Linked DNA regions of Tamandua tetradactyla. The protein of the gene in region 3 interacts with the protein of the main gene of each other region in a pairwise test. Links are inferred from orthologs where the notes say so. Each region holds a gene or a part of one and is shown on either strand. Other genes may lie near its edges. The genes, in order: PNRC2, RITA1 and DCP1A.

Region 1 (7,921 bases), on a different chromosome or scaffold from region 3:
CATATGCTACAAGTTTATTATATGTATTTACATGGCTCTTCCCTAGATACATAAAACTCACATTATACAATTCCCCACTTAGCGCCAACCTCTACAAGGATGATTTGAGGCCAGATCACTCACTGTCAAGTTTGTACAGAATACAGAAAATGTATTTTGAAAGCTACTCAGTGACCACCAAATACTGTTTCTATGAAAAATGGTTTGGGAGCATTTACTGGCAGACACCTATTCACTGTATGTGAGAACAGGGCCATTGGGGCGTAGTGCACCTCATTCTAGTAAGCCCCCAAGTGCCCTTTCCACATGAACCACTGTAAAATTTACTACAATGTACTTCACTACTCATTAAGGAAAATTCACATTTTCTCTTGGCAGTGCATCAAGTTGTTGGTACTTGTTCAGGTGTTTGTAGGACATTAAACTTTCAAGTATTTCACTAGTTCTTGATCTCTGTATGATCTTAGCTAGATGTCTGGAATCTGATTGACTAGCTTTCAACAAGTAAATCTATTCCATGTATGATAATTCCCAAAAAAAGCATCCGAAAAAGATTCCTTTGTTGTTTTCTAAATCTAAACATACATGGTTTCACTTCTTTATCAATTAAGAACGTCAAGTGCAATCAACAAATTATTTTAAGTTGCACTGATAGTACCATTACCTCATAGTGCCCACAACACACAAAACAAGTGAGATAAAATCTATTCATATTTTCTACATTAGCGGTTTTACACAAATATAAAATAGATGAATGTTTCAGACCAACTGACTAGTCTTAAATGTGATGCCTAAATTTAAACATTAGTATTTTATACCTGCACTTTAAGTAAGGTTTTAAGTTGAAATGTCATTATTTCCTTATCAGAAGGATTAAAGGAAACAGGAACCCAGTGGCTTGGTGGTTTAGGAAGAACACTTGGTGATGGTGGCTCACTAAATTTGGCTCCAGCATAGTTCTGACTAGTTTGAGATTTAAAAAGTAAGCTGGAATTCCAATTCTGATTATTTGGAAAATGTACTTTGTTCTTCCCCCCATTTTGCATGGCCTGCCATGCAGCTGCTGATGAGTTATAACTATGTCCTCTTTCTTTTTTCTTATGAACAATCTTCATCTGGGAATTCTGGTCCTTGGTCTTCTGTCTATTATGTTGTTGTTGGTTCTTACTAACATTTCTAGATTGGGGAACTGGAATATTATACCTCTCTCCACCACCCATCTTCAGGTTCTTTGTCACCTGCAAATTAATGGAAAACAAAATACTGAGTAAAATTCCATTAAGTTCACAGTTGTTTTTTATTTTTATTTTAAAAAGGGGGGGGGGAAAGCTGCTATAGCCCCAATTTGTAATTCTGAAGTCTTGGGGGCCTAAATTATTAGCTGCTTTAACTCAAGTTAAAGGAGGGTATTCAGAATTCATTAAATGCATACCCTTTATTACCTCCCCTAAGAAAAATAAGCTTATCCACAAATCCGAATAACCCTCTATTTTAAAATGAAAGCAATTGGTTTAGGATTTGAGTTCAGCTAAAATGTCTGCCCAATATAATTCTCTAATTTTTGTACCTTTCAGTCTGCTTTTCAGATTGCAGGATTTCCACTACCAGTCCCCTTCCTTGCTGCCAAGCCCAGGATAACAGGTGTTGCCTTCTGACAGATCCTTTCCTTTGTTTGAATACAGAAGTTTTCATGGGCCGATCTGCTGAGTTCAGCCTAGGAGCTGAGGCCAACATCTGAGTTTCCTCAGCACACAAGTTTGAGAGAAGTCTTAGCTAGAAAAGCAAAGATTACTTAAATTCAGTAGGAAAAAGTGGTCATTTATATTACAGAAATAATTGTAAAGGATGGCCTATTTCCTTAGAAGTAGAAAATATGTTCCCCTAAAATGGCTTTCTTTGATTTTGTAACTACTATCATGAACTCTTCTCTTCGAGATCTAGGACCCCCCTGGAGAATTCTTAAAAGAGTGTCTGTAAGTCAAGCAGTTAAGTTCTGTTTGTGTATCTTTTTCCCTGGGAAGTGCCTTTTAAGATTCTCACAAGGATTTTGTGACCGGAAACGTTCAAGTCAAAGTTGGAAAGTGTTAGCCTTAACACTCCTACCAAGAAATTGGCTTAATGTTAACTTCCCAAAGTGAGTAAGATGTTAAAGCCCACCAGAATTCTCCAGTCTTTCAACACTCAACATAAATGCATACCCTTTATTACCTCCCCTAAGAAAAACAAGCTTATCCACAAATCCGAATTTTACACAAAACCTCTTTCAACATGTCTACATCAGTGTTTCCTTTGCTTATGAACACACTAGACTCCCACTGCTTTTAAAATAAGTATTCAAAAGCAAAACAATCTAAAACGGTTTTCAATCTTCAAAAACGTAAATATACCTCCCTACTGGGACCATTTAACATTGCAGGTTTCATTTTTTCATTTAATATACCATGAAACCAAATTAACCAACAAATAAGAAGTCCCTTTCTTTTCAAGAGTTAAGACAGCCTTCCAGGCATTTTTTATAACTCTATAATAAACTACGATTCCCAGACACTGCGGCATTTACAAGTCGAACCCGGAAAACTCGGGTCTTTCGATGCGGAGCTTGGCTTCCAAGTAGCTCCACCTTTCTCGAGCCCCAACCCACGGGCCGCGTCCCTCCCGGCCGCCCGGGTTCCAAGCGTCTCTCTACTCGCCTCCTTGTCCCAACAATGGGGAGCGCAGGCACCAACATGGCCGCACCCGCGGCGACACCACTACTCACCGACTTCAAGCTCAAGACTGCGACAGCAGCGGATCCTATTAGGTGATGAAGCCTCACTCCCCTTCCAGGGAGAGACGAGGCAAGGAACGAGCAAAGCCCGACAGCACCGACCAACTACCTGCTGAATACCACAGTGTCGGACGACCAGACCACCCCTTTCTGCCTCTACCGACAAAATGGATACCCAGGCAGGCGCAAGAGAGGGGCGGGAGGCTTCGCGGCCAATCGAGACTCGAGGGTGTGGGGTTGAGCCAATGAGGAGCGGGCAGCCGCCTGTTGCTGGGGCAGGACTGGAATGAGGGAGGAGAGGTGGTTGTTGCCGAGGGTTTGAAATCTTTCCCGAGAGGAGCATGTCGGGAATAACTGCTCCCTACCGTAGCGGTTGCCGCTTCCCTTCCCGCCGGCTGCTCGCTGCCTTGCCCGCAGCCCGGGGTACGACCGCCGGGTTCTCGCGGCGCCTTTCTGAGGCCTCGACGCCGCCGTCCGGACGCCGGGCGCAGCCCAAGGGCCGCGCTTTGCCCTCGGTGGGCGCTCGCGCCTGGAGAGGCCCCTCAGCGTCTGCTTCCCTCGCGGGCGCCGCCGCCCTGACCATTCGGCGCGCCTGTTTTTCCACTAACCCCCATGAGGAGTGACTGAGGGATGGTTAGTTGGTTCCCTAGTTAAGTGCACTCAGCCATGTAACCTATTTTTTTATATATGGAAAACATACAAAAAAAGTTTTCCATGACCGAGCCCCAGTCCGCGTGTCCGGCCTTTGCTCGGGACACTTGTCTTCGTCCTTTCCCTCGGTTCTGGGAGCTTCTTTGCCAGTCCCAGAGCACGCGGTTCCCTCTGCTCGCAGTTACCCCCAAGTTACCTCCACTGTGAAGGCGTTTGACTCATGCACACAAGGTTATCAGTCCCTTCTTTGTGTCCCCACTGTTCCTTACCTTTTTATCGCACCTTATTGTTCTTGCAACGGTGTGTATCCACCTGGCTCCCCGACCCCCCAACACATCTGCATATACCCTTCGAGGAGCAAACCCAAGTTTTTGTTTTTTGTTTTGTGTGTGTGTGTGTGTGTTTTAGCACAGTGTCCCCGCTCACTGTAAATGCACTATAAAGGTTTGCTGAGAAAACGTGACCTCCCTTATTTCCCCTTCTGTCCCGTTTTTACTTGAAAAAGAGATCAGAAGATATGTCACTCAGCTGAACGTAACAGTGAGGTGCAGGGAAGGGGAAAGGACAACTTCTTTGGAGTAAATGTATAAGCAACCCAAACTGTTTTAAAAGAGGACCCTAACTTCTATTTGTATGAATAATTCTGGGATAAATGGTCCAAAATCCTTACCTTTACACTCGCAGTTCATACATCTGTGAACTTTTTTGTTACATAATTTATATATACTGACCTTTTATAAATCCCACGTAATTTGTGTTTTAATCTTTAATTTTTTTGCTACTATCACCTCTTATCCACCAACCCAACACAAAACCCCGTGTTCTAGCTGTGGATCTTAAGAAGAGTTACTGTACCTTAAAGAGGAATTCATTAATCAAATGAACAGTTATTTTGGGGTAGGGGGACTTTCTGGCTCTAATTATATTATAGTCAAATAAGGTGTACATGGCAAATCAGCTGCTAGCTCACTGTAATGTATTTCTCAGAAATTCTGGAATCTTATTTAGATATCCAGCCAGATAATAGCAATGGCGTGTTTAATGGGTTCAAGACTTTGATCTCAGGAAATGCCCTTAGAATATATATTTTAATATAATGCCTTGTAAAATAGTCTGTTTCAGTCTGCACATTTTTTCCTAATTCCTTTTTTATCAACATCAAAATATGTCTTTCAAATTTACTCCCTCTATACTCACACCCCTTCTGGTTTCTCCCTACCCCTCCATCCAGCTGAATGTGTTAACAATTTAAAATTCATTCCAGTTTGTTTCAAATGTTCTGTATTCTAGAATAAAGTCTAAACTCCAAACATTTAGAAAATTATTCAAAGCCATCACCATCTGAAATTCGTCTTTCATTTCTTCAGTAGACCTCTGAATCTTATCTGTATAACCAGACATTTTGAATACTTACTCTGCCCTAAGCCCTGCCCTATATGGTTTTGCTTATATCTCATTTAATTCTCACAAAAACCATTTGGGGTGAGTACTATTTTGATCTCCACTGTTCAGAAAAAGAATCTGATGCTCAGACAGTTTAAAGCTGGGAGCCACACCCCAAGACTCCAGAGTCCAGCTTCCATGTTCCCTACAGCATCTTTGTTCTCCTGTAGCTCAGCCGGGCTTTGTCCAGACCAGGCACTGACTGAACGTTGACGGGGTTGCCCGGGCTGCTAGGGCAGTATCAGGGCCCCACCCTGCAGCCGGGTTGGACCAAGTTCTCTGCCAAAAGAGCCGAGTCAGGCTGCCCTGGGGAGAACGCTTCCAAAGCCCTTACTGACTCCCAGACTGTGAGCACCTGCTAAGCATAGCACCAGCCTCATCATTCATTAATCTTTCGCAAGAACCCCCAATAGCCCAGTACTGGAGAACAGCAGTTCAAGTAAAACCCTCTTCAGAACATCTGATAGAGCCTCTGCTTGTCGCAGGCTGGTCTTTTTTTTATTTTTTTTTTAATTGAGAAATCTCACGTACATACTGTCCATACATGGTGTACAATCAGTGGCTCACAATATTATCACATAGTTGTGTATTCATCACCACGATCATTTTTAGAACATTTGTCTCGCTCCAGAAAAAAAGTAAAACATATATCCCATACCCCTTACCCCTCCCTCTCATTGACCACTAGTATTTCAATCTATCCAATTTATTTTACCCTTTAACCCCCCTATTATTTATTTATTATCCATATATATATTTTTTTAACTCATTTGTCCATACCCTGGAGAAAAGGAGCATCAGACACAAGGTTTTCATAATCACACACGTTATAAAATCTATATCATTATACAATTATCTTCAAGAATCAAGGCTACTGGAACACAGCGCAACAGTTTCAGGTACTTCCCTCTAGCCACCCCAACACACTACTAACTAAAAAGGGATGTCTATATAATGTGTAAGAATAACCTCCAGGACAACTTCACAACTCTGTATGAAATCTCTCAGCCTCTGAAACTTTGTCTCATTTCTCTCTTCCCCCTTTTGGTCAAGAAGGCTTTTTCAATCCCGGCTCATCCCAGGAATTCTGTCCCACATTGCCAAGGAGATTTACACCCCTCGGAGTCATGTCCCACATAGGGGGGAGGGCAGTGAGTTCACCTGCCAAGGTGGCTTAGAGAGAGAGGCCACATCTGAGCAACAAAAGTGGTTCTCTGGGGGTGACTCTTAGGCATAATTATAAGCAGGCTTAGCTTATACTTTGCAAGAATAAGTTTTATAGGGGTGAAAGAGAAGATTCCCGCATTTGTTGATTGAGGGCTTGGTCTATTGATTGGTTGTCCTCCCTGCTTGCAAGAATATCAGGAATTCTCCAAATGGGAAAGTTGAATATTTCATCCTTTCTCCCCAATCCCCCAAGGGGACTTTGCAAATACTTTTTTATTCATTGCCCAAATTACTCTGGGATATATCAGGGTATCACACTAACCTGGACAAACCGACAAAATCTCACACCCTATTCAAGATTCCCTGTACTTATGGTGTTCAAGTAAACTGTCCATACAAATTGAATTAGGTAATACACTACCCAAAATATAAATTTTGCATCAAATAAACATCTCTCCCTTTGGTCTCGCACAGAAGTTGAAGTCTTAAATATGGACCATATCACCCTTTACCCTGTATTCTGATTTACCTTAGTCCTAACCAGATCAGCTTCATCCATATCTCTAGTCAAAGTCTCATTACTTTTTCAACTTTTTAACCAGGCCAATCTTTAAAGGTAGTTGCACTAACAGGATCCAATTCATGGTTCGTGGTTCAAATAGGAAAATGTTGATGCAAACAAACAGCTGTCAGGATGCTGATCAGCCACCAACATGGGGAGATAAATGCATAATAAATACATGAGTACTTAATATAAAGTATGTATTTAACAAAGAGTTATGTGGTGCCTATTTTGTGCCAGGCACTTTCCCAAGCCTTGGGGACACAAACAAGGCTCCATCAGGGTCCTAAAGGAACTTAAAAAAATGTTTCCTTTAGTATTTATCATAGAAGGAAGCTAGTATGATGGGGAGATTCATTCCCTCAGTTCCCCTGAGACTGAAAACAGGCAATGCCAATTGTGGGCATAAAAATCCATATACTAAGAATCCCCAACACCCACCACTTAGTAAGGTACAAGTTATAATGAAACGGAACCCTGCAGAATGGAGGGGAGAAAGAGAAGATTCCCACATTTGCTGAAATTTTTTACCATGGAAGAATCTGTTTTAAATTAAGTATCAGTGGGTGAGGAGCCATGATCAATAAAATCTGTCAAAACTTTTAAGTAAACATTACCTACCCAGCCTGTAAATAGGAGTGGGAGTGGGGGTGGGGGTGGGGGCAGGCAAAAAGAAAGTATTTCTGAAACTTGACTTTGAAGGATGGACAAGTTATATATATGCTGATGCTTATTGTATTTTAGACCCCATGAGTACCTGGGCTTTTGGGGGCAATCACCCAGGGCTGACAAGCTTTCAGACTGGCTCATTTCTCTCCAGCGTGTCTATTTCAAAACAAAAGCTGGTTTCGCTCTTTTGCTTCCTAAGGCTCATCTATGAGTTCAATGTGTGTCAACTTTGAATGTTTGCAGGTCTGTTAGCTTATGGCTTGTTCAAATCAAGCAACTTGGAACCTATCAAAAGGATCAAGTAAAACACCTACCTGATGTTTTGACGTGCCTTAGCACCCTGATCTTTTTGCCAAACTGGTATCAAAACACACACCCCTTCACACATCATGAATTTGTTTCCTGGAGAAGCATCTGCTGCGTGTTCTGACTTGTACACACATTCCTGAGCTATTGCAAATCTGTGTGCAGCCCTTTTATTCTAGTTACTAAATGGGGTACCGGAAGTCAATGCTAAACTCCCACATGTCCTGTGACTCTGACCTACAAGTTTTTAACTTCCTCTGGGTGCCTAAGCAATTCTGATGCCCAGGTCCCACACCAGAGCAATTAAAGCAGAATCTTCGGGGGTGGGAGCTTGGGTAGTTGGTGTTTTTAAAGCT
Region 2 (7,555 bases), on a different chromosome or scaffold from region 3:
GTCGGGAACCAAACAGCGACTCATCACAGTAAGATGGAGTGTGGCTGATCAACCTGGCAAACAAAAGGGAAATGCAGTGAGCTGGGGGTTGATGACCCCTCACACCTTGACATCCCTCAGGTACCCACAGCAGCAGACAGGGTTGACTGTAGAGCCCAGCAGCTTCTGTCTCCCAGCCTGGCACCGACAATGAGGTCAGAGCCCTCTCATGAACCACTGCCCCCATCTCTGTTATTTTTCCCCTCCCAAGCATCTAGTCCCCTGCATTCTGGCCCCGATCCCTGGCATGTGCCACCAGGCCTGGCCAGCCAGCTTATTCCATCTTGCTGTCTACACTGACTGGTTCAGGAATGAGCATATCACCCAAGTCTGCCCAGTGAGAGGCTCCCCTATGATTTTTGCTGAAACCAATAGGAAAGAGGTGTTTTCTGCCATCTGGCATTGCTAAAGCTGGCAAGATGTAAGTCCCAAAGTAGATTGTGGCCATCTCACCCCTACTGGAGATTTTAGAGGCAATTATTTCCATCAACGTCTATATGAGGTAAGTATCATGATTAACCCCATTTTACAGAAAAGAAAACTGAGGCGTGGGTAAGTTTCTCATAGGCAGAACGTTGTAGAAACTAGATTCAAATCCAGCCTGACTCGAGGACCCAAGTGCTGAACCACTAAATCAGTGGACCCCCACTTTAAGTCAGATTCACTCAGCAACGATATTTCATTAAGTCAACAAATATTTACAGCATACTACTAAGTGCCAGGCCCATGGTTTTAGGGGTGAACCAAAAGTGCTTCCATTCCCAATCCGCAAGATCTAACCTTCTGCCACTTGGTGTAGCTGCTCAAACCTTATCTGATTGATGCTGGCTTCTGTCTAGCACCAAAGTTTTTGCTTAATAATGTACCTTGTCAGAATCTAGGACAAAATGCCAAACTCCAGTCAAGCGTGGGTTGACTGCACCTCCCTTGCCCTCCCACCATACTTTTGTTAATGTAGCTCACATTTACATGAGCATTTGCAGGCCTCTTATAGGAGTCAGTGTTGTTAATGTCAAGCTGATACTGCCTTGTGGTCCACAGAAACTGCCAGACACATCACCCTCAACCAGATATAACTAATTCTTCCTTTTATCACTGATGAATTCTACCTCCTTTAATAGGCATCATACCTACCTGCACTTCTCTTATCTGATGTATGTCCTTCCTGGCTCCAAATGGATCCTAAATTTAATTGGCCAGTCTTGTGTCTCTGTTCAAATACTGATAACAGGGAAAAGGACAGAGCCTTGTGGCTCACCACTAGACACTAGGCTGATATTAATCTGAATCTATATAGTCTGGTCCTAATCTGATCAACTAGCAACAATAACCACAAGTATCAGCTCCTGTGTCTCTAGCCTGTTCATGAAAATGCAGCAAGACCCATTTTCTAAATGACTTGCTAAAATTCAGAAATAGCACATCTTGGTCATTTCACGGAATATTTGAGGACAAGGAGATTCCTAAATGCCAAGGATTGTATGCCTCATCTCATTTAATCCTCTCAGCCACCCCAGGAGGTAGGATGATTAGTTCTATTTCTAAATGAAGAAGCTACAGCTTAGAGAGGTCAAGGTACTTGACCAAGGTCACACAGCAGGTGAGCAGCAAGGCTGTACAGGAACCCAAGCAGCTACGAGCACAACGGTACATCTCCCCACTCCTCTACCTGTATTTGCTCTTCTTCCTTGGTGTGAGGGTTGGGGTGTTGCCCCTAGAGGGGGTGGTCTCACAGCTCCTGTTGGCCCCTGTAGCCTGTGAGGCCCCTGCACCCACTCCTCTGGTTCTGTTGGCCTTCTCCACCCAGGGTGGGTCAAACTCTGGTGGAGCGGGACGGGTCCCTGCAGGGCTGCCAAACAGAGTCTCATCCACATATGACGCCCTGGCCTTGACCCGGTGGCTGCCTCGGCAGCAGTGCTGGAGGTGGAGGGTCTGCATCCCACTGACTGCCAGCTCCATGGGGGTCCTCACGCAGCTTCTGGACAAGGGTGACAGTGGGCATGCTCTGTCTGCCAAGCCCCGCCTCCAGGGCTCCCTGTGAAAGGGGATCAGGGTGGTATCTGTGAACCAGTGGCAGTGCCAGCTACGGTCCCCACCCCAAGGGCAGAAGGATCTAGTTCTCCCCCACCAGTCCTTCTCAGGGCGAGCTATCAACCCCAGTGGCGTTTCAGAAACTTGTGGAGGCATTTTTAGTTGTTATAATGATGTGGAGTGGGGGCACTTCAGGGATAATCTAATGAATGAAAAGGGATTGTCTCCTAACATACAGTGATTGTTCAATATTTATGGACTGTCTGGGGTAGGGAGGATGAAGGAAACAATGGGTCTTATGCCCATTTTGATACCAGCCAGGAAACAAATTAACCACAGCAAGAGCGGGAAAGGGACAGGTCCCTACTGGAATACCCCGTATGTATTTCTGGGGGTGGGGATGACAGACAACATTGCTTGGAGGCTCACCCCGTGCAAAGCACTGCAAGAGCACTGCCCCATTGAATCCTCTCAGCCGCCCTGTGAGGGACCGTCCATCACATCCATTTTACAGACGACAACACTGAAGCTTCTTTCTCAAGGTGAAGTCATGTGTGTAGGTCACGCCTAGAAAGCGACGTAAACGCAATGAAAACCCGACGCAAGTCGAGCCTTTTGGGGACCCTCCTCCCACTCACCACTACCCTCCGCCCCCACTCTGCCCCATTTCTCGCTCCCCAATTCAACACCCTGGTTAATCCCCGAGGTCGCTGCATTCTGGAGTTATTCTCCAAGCCGGGTACCTTAGCACGGGGGTGTGGGCTACAGCCCCCAGCGCCCCCTCCCTCTCAGGCCTGGCCGGGTCTGCGGGGGCGCGCGGTGCACCCGGAGCCCGCGTGACTCCGCAGCCGGGACGCCCGGAGCTCAGACCGCGAGGCCGACCCGCTCACCCGGAGAAGCCAGGCCCTGGCGACGCGCGCATCCGACAACAGCCAGCGCGCAGGGGCGGACGCGGCCGGAACCATTCCTGCCCGGGCATGAGGGGGAGGCGTCCCGTTCCCGACGTCCTCGAACTCTCCTAAAGCCACGGAGAGGGGCCCTCCGCGTCAGCCGGGAGAGCGTCGTTGATCAGGCATCCTAGGGCCGCCGGCAGAGGCGACAACGCGCAGGGCCGTAGACAGAGCTCTCCCCCCCCCCCCGCCCACCGCACAGTTGGTACGTCCCGGCAGGCTCCGCCCCTCCCTGCCCTGTGCGTCCGAGCCCGCATGGCTGCCGGCGCGCGCCCGGGCGCCGGGCCTCGGTCCGGAGCTGCCATGGCCCAGTGGAGGAAGAAGAAGGGGCTCCGGAAGCGCCGGGGCGCGGCTTCCCAGGCCCGCGGCAGCGACTCGGAAGACGGCGAGTTTGAGATCCAGTCAGAAGATGACGCCCGGGCCCGGAAGGTGGGAACGATGCGGGCAGGGACGCAAGTTGGGGGCCGGGGACGCGGCGCGTCCGCGATCGGGGCACTCGGGGCAGCAATGCCTCAGTTTCCCCGGCTGGGGAGTGAGGGCGGCTGAGGGTGGGAGTGAAGTCCGGATGTCCGGGAACCGGGGCGCAGGCCCCGTGGCCTAAGCACGTGTCTCGGGACCTGCCGCGCCCTCGGGTCCAGGCCACCCGAGCCTCCTAATTCCTGGGCCCGGGATCTGCGGGCCTGGCGGGCTGGGTTCGGAGCGCCGAGAGCTGCGAGCAGTAGCGCGCCCCTCATTGGCTTCCTCTGCTCAGCGGGCGAGTCCTTTCTTCCTTTTCCTCCAATGAAAAGTGCGGGTGCGGAAGATCTGACTTTGCAAGTTTGGGGGACCCTTGGGAGGTGTTATTAACAGGGAGGCCCGAGTGCATGACCCGAGACGGTGACCCCAGCCATCAAGCTTCCTGGGAAGCCTCATAATCAGTTAAACAGATTTCTTGATCGCTGGCTTTGTGCGAAAACCTTTATATGCCTTATCATTTAATCCTCACACCAGCCCTGTAGCCAAATCCTGTCAGTTCCACTTTCCAGATGAGGAGACTGAGGCCCCGTGGGATTAGGTAACTTGATGAGATCACCCAGCTTGTTAGTGGGACAGCCAGGATTCACACCTGGGACTGTCTGGTTCCAGGACCTGTGCTGTTTGCACTACTGCGTGCCAGCTGTGAGCACCAACGGGGCAGAAGAGCTGTAACCCCGTATTTCCCAGAGCCCAGTGCCAGCCGGTGCCTGGCACAGAGGAGGCCCTGGGTACATACGTGGATAAGTGGATGCTCACATGCAGGGAGGGGCCTTACACACTTCCAGGGCAGGGACCAGGTAAGGCCCCCAGTGCCTGGCACAAAGTAAGTGCCCTGTAAAGTTTGTGGAGAAACTGCCAAAGGTGACACATGGCACAGGAGGTTAGAAGTGGTGAATGCCAAAGAGGATCTGTAGTGGTTCATCCAAGGAGTTGTGGCACAGCCCTGCATTCAAACCTGGCCCTACCCTGGACTGGCTGGGGGACACTGGGGAAGTTGCTTAACCTCTCTGTGCCACTGTTTCCACTTCTGTAGAAAGCTGATGATTATATGCGCCTCAGAGATTGTTCATTTCCCGGTTCCCTAAGTATTGCGAGGCCTCTGCATGGGTAGGCACTTGGCTTTCAAGATCTAAAGCAGGGTTGGCAGACTTTTTCTGTAAAAGGCCAGATGGTAAACATTTTAGGCTTTGTGGGGCCATGCAAAATCTGTCTGTTTACTTTGTTTGATTTTGTACAGTTCTTTAAAATGCAAAAACCATTTTTATTTCATGGGCTGTACAAAACCAGTTGCAGCCCTGACCTAAGGGTTGTGGTGGGTCACAGAAGGTCATGGGGGAGCCAAACCAGAGTTCAGATACCTGTTCCCCCCACTTTCTGGCTGTGTGACTGTGGGCATGTCACTTCTCCTCTCAAGTCTCAGTTTCCTTATTGTGAAGATTGAGTTAATTTAGAAGACTGGAGAGCGACCTCTGGCTTATAGTCCATGCTGTGTGAGTTTTAGCTATTATTATCAGTTAGTGTTCCATGAGTGTTATTTCTTAAAGGAAGAGGGTGGTCCAAGAAGACTCCCTGGAAGAGGCATCTGGGTTGGCTTTAGCTGTGTCTTAAAGGATGAATGTGCCCTGCATAGGCTGAGAGGAGACCAGAGTTGGTTGGGGGTGATATGCTGGAAAGGATCTGGGTTAGGGAACAGGACAGCTTGGAAAAGTCTAGTCCCTTATACATAGTAGCTGTTTTGATTAACCAAAATTTTTAATTTTGAGGACTTTGAATAACAGACGAGGATGACGACGGCGATGATGTTGTTCATAATAATGCCACCAGCCGCTGTGTGTTAGGCGCTGTCCTAACTTCCACTTTCCCATTTAATCGTCACAACACCCCTGTGGGGCAGAAGCTCTTGTCCTCCCTCTTTTCCATTTGTGCAAATTGAGACTCAGGGAGGCTGTCACTTGCCTGAGGTCTCGCAGCTGTTGAGTGACGAATGCAGATGGCCTGACCTCCGGGCCACTTGAGCCCGGCCCAGACAGGGAGAGCCCTTCAGCAGGGAGGACACGTGATCCCGGAGGAGCGCGACTAGCTGGCATGGGGAAGGAACTGGCATCAGGACGGCCCCCTCCCTGCCCACTGGGGCCTGGTTGTGCCTGGCACGACCCTGCCTCTCCGTCCTTCCCTCTCAGCTAGGCCCTGGCAGACCCCTGCCCACCTTCCCCAGCTCGGAGTGCACCTCGGACGTGGAACCAGACACCCAGGAGATGGTGCGCGCCCAGAACAAGAAGAAGAAGTCCGGAGGCTTCCAGTCCATGGGTGGGTGAGCCAGGCGCCCGGGGGCCTCAGGGCAGCAGCAGGGCGTCCCTGTGCCCTCCGCCCAGTGGAACCCATGCCCGCCTGGGCCCAGCACTGTGGTGGGTGCTGGGGAGACCGAGGCAGCAGATAGGGTCTCCAGGCTTTCAGGGCCTTGTGGTGGTGGTGACAGGCCCAGGAAGAGGAAGCAGCAGGAGCAGAGCGGTGGCAGTGGGACTGAGGGTGCCCCCAGTGGGGACAGAAGGCCTGCTGAGGCTCTAGAGCAGCTCACGAGCTTTCGTGAAAGGGCCAGATGGTAAGGTACCAGGCCACAGTGTCTCTGCCACCCCTACTGGACTGCTGTGGAAGCAGCCGGATGATAACAAACCAGTGGGTGTGGCTGCGTGCCAATAAAACTTTATTTCCAAAAACAGACCTGGTTTTGGGCCTGAGGGCCATAGTTTGCTAGCCCCTGCTCTCGGGTCTCAAGGGTGACAGCGGATGGTGCAGTGTCTGAGGCATCCCCAGGGGCTGGTGAGGTTGATCCGGCCTCCTCTCCCCTGCCCCGCCAGGATGGCCTCTCCCACCAGCCCCAGTATCTGAGCTAATCGCAAAAGGTGCTGACACTTATCAGACACCCATAATGGAACATAATCTGCTTGAAACACAACGCCTCTGTTCAATCCTCACAACCCTTTTAGGAGGCACTGCTACATCTCAAATTACAGATGGGGACACTGAGGCAGGGACAGACTCACTTAAGTTACCCCACTGGGGAAGTGGCACGGCCACGGGGGTGCCCCCAGCCCCTGACCCTCCCCGTGTCTTTCCCAGGCTTGAGCTACCCGGTGTTCAAGGGCATCATGAAAAAGGGCTACAAGGTGCCGACGCCCATCCAGAGGAAGGTACAGAGTGGGACCTACCCGGGAGGGACGGGGAGGAAAGGGATCTGACCCTTCCAGGTGGCCTCTTTTTTTTTTTTACATGGGCAGGCACCGGGGATTGAACTCGGGTCCTCGGGCATGGCAGGCAAGCACTCTTACCTGCTGAGCCACCGTGGCCCTCCAGGTGGCCTCCTGACAGCCACCCCTCGCCCCAGCCATTACACCTACATCCCCTCTTACCCTGGTTGAAGCCCAGAGCTCACTCACTCCACAGGTGAGCGAAGCCAGGCTTCTGTGCCAGTCACACCTCCCCGGGCTGCCCACTGCTGAGCCGCTGCCCCGGCATCACCACCCATTCCTCTGGGGCCCCAAGGGAAATGATTAGTCCAGGAGGTTGGCGTGACTTCTGAGGAAGGATGTGCCCCCTGAGGAGACATTGGGGGTGGTGCCCTCATCCCAGATGCACAAACAAGCTCTTGTAAGAGTGGGAACTGGGCTGGGTGGCAGCCTGAGATCCCGTAGTCTGCCGTCCCCAGGGGCTGGAGACTGGATTGGGCAGCACTCGGGTGTGTGGTCAAGGCCTCTGGGCACCACCCAGCCCCTGCACTTGCCCGTCTCCAGACCATCCCGGTGATCCTGGACGGCAAGGACGTGGTGGCCATGGCCCGAACGGGCAGCGGCAAGACAGCCTGCTTCCTCATCCCCATGTTCGAGCGGCTCAAGACCCGCAGTGCCCAGACTGGGGCCCGCGCCCTCATCCTCTCGCCCACCCGCGAGCTGGCCCTGCAGACCATGAAGTTCACCAAGGAGGTGCCTCAGGGGCCGGGGCAGCTGGGGCTGAGCTGGAGCCAG
Region 3 (7,181 bases):
CTATATCAGTCTTCTCCTATAACAGACAATGAGTCAATTAGTAGTTGTCTCCCCCCCTTCTCATAATCCAACCCCAAAGAGCCCCAACAGGGAAGCAACACTTCATGTTTCAGATAAACTACTTTATTTATTAAAAAATTAACCACTTTTGGACAAGTGAAATAAGTCTCCTTCTCATTCCACCAAATACGGTCACCAGTTTCGTATGTATTCTTTCAATGTGATTGATGCAATAAGCAATGTTCATCTAGCAACAAGTCTGTTTCTGCAGCATTTTTTCTTTTTTAGCTTTTAAAGAAGAATATAATAGAATTAGTTTTCACTTCTATAATTTTTTTAGGTAAACATTTTAGCCAAAATATTTTAGCCAGATTTCTTCATCTTAAAGCCAAGGTCCTGTGTACAGGAGTTCTTCACTTTTACAGTTTATCAAAGCTAGAAAAAAAGAGAACTTTTTTAGTTTATAGGATACTTTGTTTCATTATTGGGAGATTTTGATATATTTTCATGAGCAACAAATCTCCTGGTTAGTTAAGAATTACTGTGAAACACAGTTTGCTATTCTTAGAACTTTGTTGAACAATGATGAATATTGAGACTATGATGTAATTATACCTCTAACAAATAATCTAAAATTTTCTTTAGCTTAAAGTGAAAATGTTTTAAGGAAGTACAACTCATTACTATCTTCATTTGCTTGGACAAGAGTGTATTTTGGTTTTAAACACAGTTACAGTGTTTAAACAAAAAATAACCATATAAGTCTGCAGTTCACAATGCAGGTTAAATTAAATATTTTAATGTAATCAACAAATTATTAGAAAAACTTTACATATTAGTCACACCAAACTGAATTTTTTGGGATAAAAAAATTTATCACCTTGATTTTTTTCCAGTTTTGTCCTAGCTTAAATCATCATGAATTTTCTCAAGGATTTTTTTTACTGTCTTACAGTAAAAGAAAACTTGCTCATTTACTCCATTGTGCAAGTTACGACCTACTAGTAAACAAAGAAAAGATTTTGGTTATATTCCGTGTGCCATGATTCCAATAAACAATGGCAGCTTATTTTTAAATCCAGGTTATTATAGTTTGTATTTCATATTTAAAACAGAAATCCACAATTAAAATTTCAAAGTACTGAAAATCTTTGTGAAGACTAGAAATAAAAGTTCGTTAATGAAAAATTCCAGCCCCAAGTCTTCACCATTTGTCCACGATTCACATTTGCACCCGACCACAAATTTATACGCAGGCTAAGAAAAGAAAAATGATTCACAACAATTCAAACTAAGGCAATGTCTACAACAACTACTCCTTGGGGGGGGGGGGGGACTAGAATTTTGTTCTTTGAGGCAAAAAGAACAACCTCCATCCCTTCCAGAAGGTGCATGAAATAAAATAAACTAAAGCAAGATTTTGAAAACTCTCTTCTTCCCAATTAACTGTTTAAAATTGTCAACTGCCAAATGATTTTCACAAAATTACTGGTAACTATAATCCATGCAGCAGTACTATACTGTAAGGGGCATATTACAGTGATAATCCTTCAGATTTTTGTTAGTGTAGGGTCTTATTTTTATTTGAAGATATGAATGTCAGCTACAGATGTTTGTAAGAAACACAAACTTTTTCTAAGTTTCAAGTCTATAACTGAGTCGATCAATTAGAAGAAAACAAATAATTAAACTACAAACTTCAAGCAGAGGCGAAGAAAGGTCAGTTAACAGATTGAATGCAACCTTTCGGACCTTCTCCCGTACAAAGAAGTCAAAATGTACTTAATCTGACAGGAGCACTCAGAGGTGACATCACCAGCATCTCACAGCTGGAACTAAACATATTTACAGGCGCTCCAAAAGTCTCAAGGCGACCCAGATAACATGGAGCCCTTTTCTTGTCTTGAAATCTTTCCCCAAACTTTGGAAATACAGTATAGTTGCATTAAATCCGGACTCACTCCTACTCTCCTCTTCCAAGAATTGAAACTAACTGGATTTCAAGCTTTAAATCTAAATGTCCTTTGCAGAGGGGACTTCCATTTTTGCATGTTGTGAATAGGAAAGGGGTGTTTATGTATCAAGTATACGTAAATTACTTAATATCCCTTAAAGCCTCAGAGACAAGCTTTCAGGTACCCCTCTGATTCCACTGGTCTTCTATCACCCCACACATCCTCAAAGAAGACAGGCTGACCACGACCCCGGCCCTGACCCAAAGGAACTCGACCCTGCGCTAACCCTTCCCTCCAGCTTCTTTTCCCCGGGATGTCTTGGGCCTACTTTCCTCGCTCCTCTCCCCACAGCCCCAGGAGGTCCTGACACGATTTCGGCTCCGATCGCGAACTTCACTAGTCCCTGACCTAGCTCACGCCACCCTCACCTCCCTTATCGCACCCCCTCGACCCCCCACCACTATGGCGGCCCGCGCGGCCCCTTTAAGAGTCGGTGGCGGCCGAGCGGCCGTTTTCCGTGGCCGGACTACACTCACCCACTGGTTGGCCTTGGGGCAGAAGGTGTATAGAGCAACCTGTCCCGTGAGGTCTGCGATGCTGGTGATATAGGGGTCGTGTCGCTTCAGAGCCGCCAGGCTCATCTCCTGCCCAGCTCGACTCAGCGACTCCATCTTGAATCCCGGAGCCGAGCCCCTCCGGTGGGGGCGGAGTCGAGGACCGGAAGGTGCCATCGAGGCAAAGTTCCCCAGGTGCGTCAGTACCTTCGACTTCCGCATCTAATTGTGGTGTTGCGGGGTGCAATCACTGTGTTCCGCTGCCCGCGCACTTCGGCTGCCAGGTTCCGGCATGTTCAGGTTCTCCCTGCCCAGCCCGACCGACGTCCGCTGTACAGCGTCTGAACTCGCGGCCGGATTCCCGGGCGGTTCTTTTCCGCGAGCATAAACGTCCCTGCACCAAGATCCGGGGTTCCTGCGCGTTTCAGGGTTCCTGCCGGAGGGGATCCGAGACTCACCCCAGCCCGCCTCCGGCTCTCGCGCGAGGGACGCAGCAGCGAGAATGGGGGACGCCACACGTTTAGAAAGCACCGAAAGACAGGGGACGCGGGAGACCCCGAAAATTACCCCAAATCTCACCAGATCGTCACCGTTTACAATCTGCTGTTTTCTGAAGGAGATATTTGAAAAAAGTAACTCACCTGAAACTTCATAGACGTTTTTATTGCTGCCCACTTTCGCTTCCTCTTTTCTCTTGTCTGAGTCTCGCGTAAATATTTCTATCCGGTCCTGGAAGGGCCCCATGAAGGCCTGAGTTGTGCATCATTTAAAAGGATTAAAAATACCACTCATTGTTTTGGCAAATATCTGTTGAAAATTCTGAGGCATTTTAAAGAGGCAGATGTTGTTGATAGTGAAAAAGTAAAACTAAGTCCAGAGACCACAGTGAGCTCTTGTCCCCACAGACTTGTTTAAAAGCAACATTTTTTCTTAAATTTTAAAAGATACGCTAACAGAGTTAAGCAAAACATTCGAAATTTTAAAAATCCATAATTTCATTAAAATAACACTATAAAATATGTATGTGTTTATGATTTTACATCCTAGGAGTATGTATTAATCGAAAGAGGCTCTATGTCTTACATTCTGTACAAAATCATATAAGAAGCACAGATGAGGCCAAGGAGAGTATCGCTCAGTCACCCTTCATTAAGCAAGTATTTATTGAACTCCCAGTTGTGGACTGGCTCCCTTGGGAGCTCCAAAGTCTATTGACAACCTCCTGGGTGTGGGAGAAATGAAAGAAGTAGAACAAAGCAAGGAAACAGGGATAATTAATGCTAGAGACTTTTCTGAAACACAGAGGATGGAGCCACTAACTCCATCTAGCCTGGCAATATAAGAAGGCTTCATGGAAGAAATGATGTTTGCATTGGAGTGCCAGTGAAGAAAGGTAAGGACTCCCTTTCATTTCATTTAACAGCTCAGTGCTGAGTTGGGGAAAATGTGGTCATCCTCACTGACAGATTATTAGTGTTATTTATTTTTTTTAATTGACAAGCCAAAACAATGTACAAACACGAACATTCTTAACATACAAACATTCCATACATGGTGTACAATCAGTGCCTCACAATACCATCACATAGTAGTATATTCATCACCATGATCATTTTTTAGAACGTTTGCATCACTCCAGAAACAGAAATAAGAAGAAAAAAGAAAAAAATCATAGTATCATACCCCTTACTCCTCCCTTCCATTGACCCCTAATATTTCCATCTACCCAATATATTTTAACCTTTGTTCCCCCTACTTTTTTTCTATACCCCTGTTCTAGTTTGCTAGCTGCTGGAATGCAATATAACAGAAATGGAATGGCTTTTAACAAGGGAAATTTAATGAGTTGCTAGTTTATAGTTCTAAGGCTGAGAAAATGTCCAATTAAAACAGGTCTATAGAAATGACCAATTAAAGGCATCCAGGGAAGGATACCTTGGTTCAAGAAGGTCGATGAAGTTCAGGGTTTCTCTCTCATCTGGAAAGGCACATGGCGAACACAGTCAGTTTCTCTCTTGGCTGGAAGGGCACATGGCAAGCAAGGCATCAATCTCCACTTTCTCTCCTGGCTTCCTGTTTCATGAAGCTCCCTGGGAGGCATTTTCCTTCTTCATCTCCAAGGGTCGATGGCTCGTGGACTCTCTGCTTTGTGGTGCTGCAGCATTCTCTGCTCTCTCTCAATCTCTTTCTCCAAAATGTTTTCTCTTTTATAGGACTCCAGTAAACCAATCAAGACCCACTCAAATGGGTGGAGACTGTCATCCCCTAATCCAGTTTAACAACCATTCTTGACTAAATCACATCAACCAGGGCAATGATCTCATTACAGTTTCAAACATACAGTATTGAATAGAGATTATTCTACCTTTATGAAATGGGATTTGTATTAAAACATGGCTTTTTCTTAGGGGGCATGCTTCCTTTCAAACCAGCACAACCCCTTACCACTCCCTTTCATTGATCACTAGTATTTCAATCAACTCAATTAGTTTTAACATTTGTTCCCATTATTTATTTATTTTTAATTCATATTTTTTACTCATTTGTCCATACCATAGATAAAAGGAGCTTTAGACACAGGTTTTCACCATCACATAGCCACATTGTGAAAGCTCTATCATTATACAATCATCTTTAAGACATGGCTACTGGAACACAGCTCTGCAGTTTCAGGCACTTCCCTCTAGCCTCTGTAATACACCTTAAATTAGATTGGGATATCTATATAATGTGTAAGAATAACCTCCAGGATAACCTCTTGACTCTGAAATCTCTCAGCCACTGACCCTTTATTTTGTCTCATTTCTCTCTTCCCCCTTTTGGTCGGGAAGGTTTTCTCAATCCCTTGATGCTGAGTCTCAGCTCATTCTAGGATTTCTTTCCCACGTTGCCAGGAAGGTTTACACCCCTGGGAGTTATGCCCTAGGTAGAGACGGGGAGGGCAGTGAGTTTGCTTGCCATGTTGGTTGCGAGAGAGAAGCCACATCTGAGCAACAAAAGAGGTTCTCTGGGGGTGACTCCTAGGCCTAATTTTAAGTAGGTTTAGCCTATCCTTTGTGGGGATAAGCTTCATATGAACAGACCCCAAGATTGAGGACTCAGCCTATTGATTTGGTTGTCCCGACTGCTTGCGACAATATCAGGAATTCTCCAAATGGGGAAGTTGAATTTCTGCTCTTTCTCACCATTCCCCCAAGGGGACTTCGCAAGTACTTTTTTATTCACTGTTAAATTACTCTGTAATTTCTTGGGGCATCACATTGGACAAACCTACAAAATCTCATGCCCTATTCAAGGTTCCATGTACTTATGGTGTTCAATTAACCTGTCTATATAGGTTATATTAGGAAATGTGCTAGTCAAAATATAAATTTTGTACCAAATAAACATTTTTTTGCTTTAGTCTTACACAGAAGTTGAAGTTTTAAAATATGAATGACCACCTATTTTCAGTACCCTGCAATATTGACATTCCTTTGTTCTTCCTCATGCAAAAACTTTTTAAAATTTGTACATTTAGTCACTATCATTATACACTCTAGGTATTCCTAGATTATACCATCTCAGTTTTTATCGTGTATCTTTCCTTCTGGTTTCATTTGTGCCCCCAGCCCTTCTCCCTCTATCATTCTCACATTCAGCTTCATTCAGTGTACTAACATTATTGTGCTTCGATCAGGTAGTATTGTGCTATCCATTTCTGAATTTTTACAATCAGTCCTGTTGCACAGTCTGTATCCCTTCAGCTCCAGTTACCCAACATCTATCCTGTTTCTAGCTCCTAGTGACCTCTGCTCTTAACTGAAATTCTTCAAGTTCATTCATTAATGTCAGTTCATATCTGTGAGACCATACAGTATTTGTCCTTTTGTTTCTGGCTAATCTCACTCAGCATAATGACTGACAGATTATTTAATTGAGGCCCTAGAGGAGAAATCATTGGCTCAAAGTGACACACTAATCAGAAGGCATCCAGTGATAGAATCTCAGGGCCCCTGCCTTCTACCCTAGGTTCCTTTCCGCTACTCCCAAGTTGCCTTTCTTCCTCACAGTGACAAGAAGCAGTTGCCCTATACCCTTTTACCTGCCTTCAATCAAGGGTTTCACGAATCTGTATCCTATTTTTTTACAAATGTGTATTTTTTGAATAGGTAATACATTCACTGGTACAAATTTCAAAAGGCATATCTGAAACAGAATACTTTTTTTCTCACACGAATTTCTTAAAATATGACATTTTCTTTTTATTTACTATTTTTGGTTGTGTTAGACTAGTGAAGAATACCCAGCTATTTTAGGGGGTTTTCATATTTTGAATAAAAAGTCACTTCACAAAGCATGTTTGCATGGCCCCGAACATGTTAATATTGACTTTCATGCCCTTTACTGCTGTAGCTCTTAGATATATTAAAGACGAAGTGAATATTTTGGAATTGAAAACCATCCTCATTTACCTTGAGGCCTAATTTTGCCTTATGTTTGTGAATTGGGCCTTAAGGTCTTTCTTGTGTCTTTTAGACAATTAGCTCTGAGAAGGCAAAGACTGTATTTTCGCCTGTTAGGTCTCCAGCACCTATCACATAAAGTAGACCCTCAGTAAATTCACTGAATGAATTTTGTCTTAAAACCCAACTCCTTTAAATCCATGCAAGAGAGTTGAGGAAGGGGAGAG

The links.
Region 1: the proteins of DCP1A (region 3) and PNRC2 interact in binary tests that used the Homo sapiens proteins (3 or more experiments, as listed by UniProt). The link is inferred for Tamandua tetradactyla from reciprocal best matches to the Homo sapiens genes DCP1A and PNRC2.
Region 2: the proteins of DCP1A (region 3) and RITA1 interact in binary tests that used the Homo sapiens proteins (3 or more experiments, as listed by UniProt). The two-hybrid records come from large-scale screens. The link is inferred for Tamandua tetradactyla from reciprocal best matches to the Homo sapiens genes DCP1A and RITA1.

What each region holds. Positions count from the first base shown.
Region 1 is NC_135328.1:202,313,973-202,321,893, forward strand, and holds the start of PNRC2 (proline-rich nuclear receptor coactivator 2), read right to left. Parts: upstream 3,075-7,921; 5' UTR 2,759-3,074; intron 1,774-2,758; 5' UTR 1,568-1,773; intron 1,239-1,567; 5' UTR 1,221-1,238; coding exon 813-1,220; 3' UTR 1-812. UniProt on the Homo sapiens protein: Involved in nonsense-mediated mRNA decay (NMD) by acting as a bridge between the mRNA decapping complex and the NMD machinery. May act by targeting the NMD machinery to the P-body and recruiting the decapping machinery to aberrant mRNAs.
Region 2 is NC_135331.1:13,850,887-13,858,441, reverse strand, and holds the start of RITA1 (RBPJ-interacting and tubulin-associated protein 1), read right to left. Parts: upstream 3,078-7,555; 5' UTR 2,961-3,077; exon of another isoform or gene 2,814-2,960; intron 2,638-2,813; 5' UTR 2,500-2,637; intron 2,075-2,499; 5' UTR 1,999-2,074; coding exon 1,709-1,998; intron 54-1,708; coding exon 1-53. Other genes in the region: ATP-dependent RNA helicase DDX54, read left to right, coding at 3,276-3,449, 5,717-5,843, 6,654-6,724, 7,325-7,513. UniProt on the Homo sapiens protein: Tubulin-binding protein that acts as a negative regulator of Notch signaling pathway.
Region 3 is NC_135341.1:32,330,714-32,337,894, reverse strand, and holds the start of DCP1A (mRNA-decapping enzyme 1A), read right to left. Parts: upstream 3,089-7,181; 5' UTR 2,732-3,088; coding exon 2,492-2,731; intron 1,002-2,491; exon of another isoform or gene 881-1,001; intron 17-880; coding exon 1-16. UniProt on the Homo sapiens protein: Necessary for the degradation of mRNAs, both in normal mRNA turnover and in nonsense-mediated mRNA decay. Removes the 7-methyl guanine cap structure from mRNA molecules, yielding a 5'-phosphorylated mRNA fragment and 7m-GDP.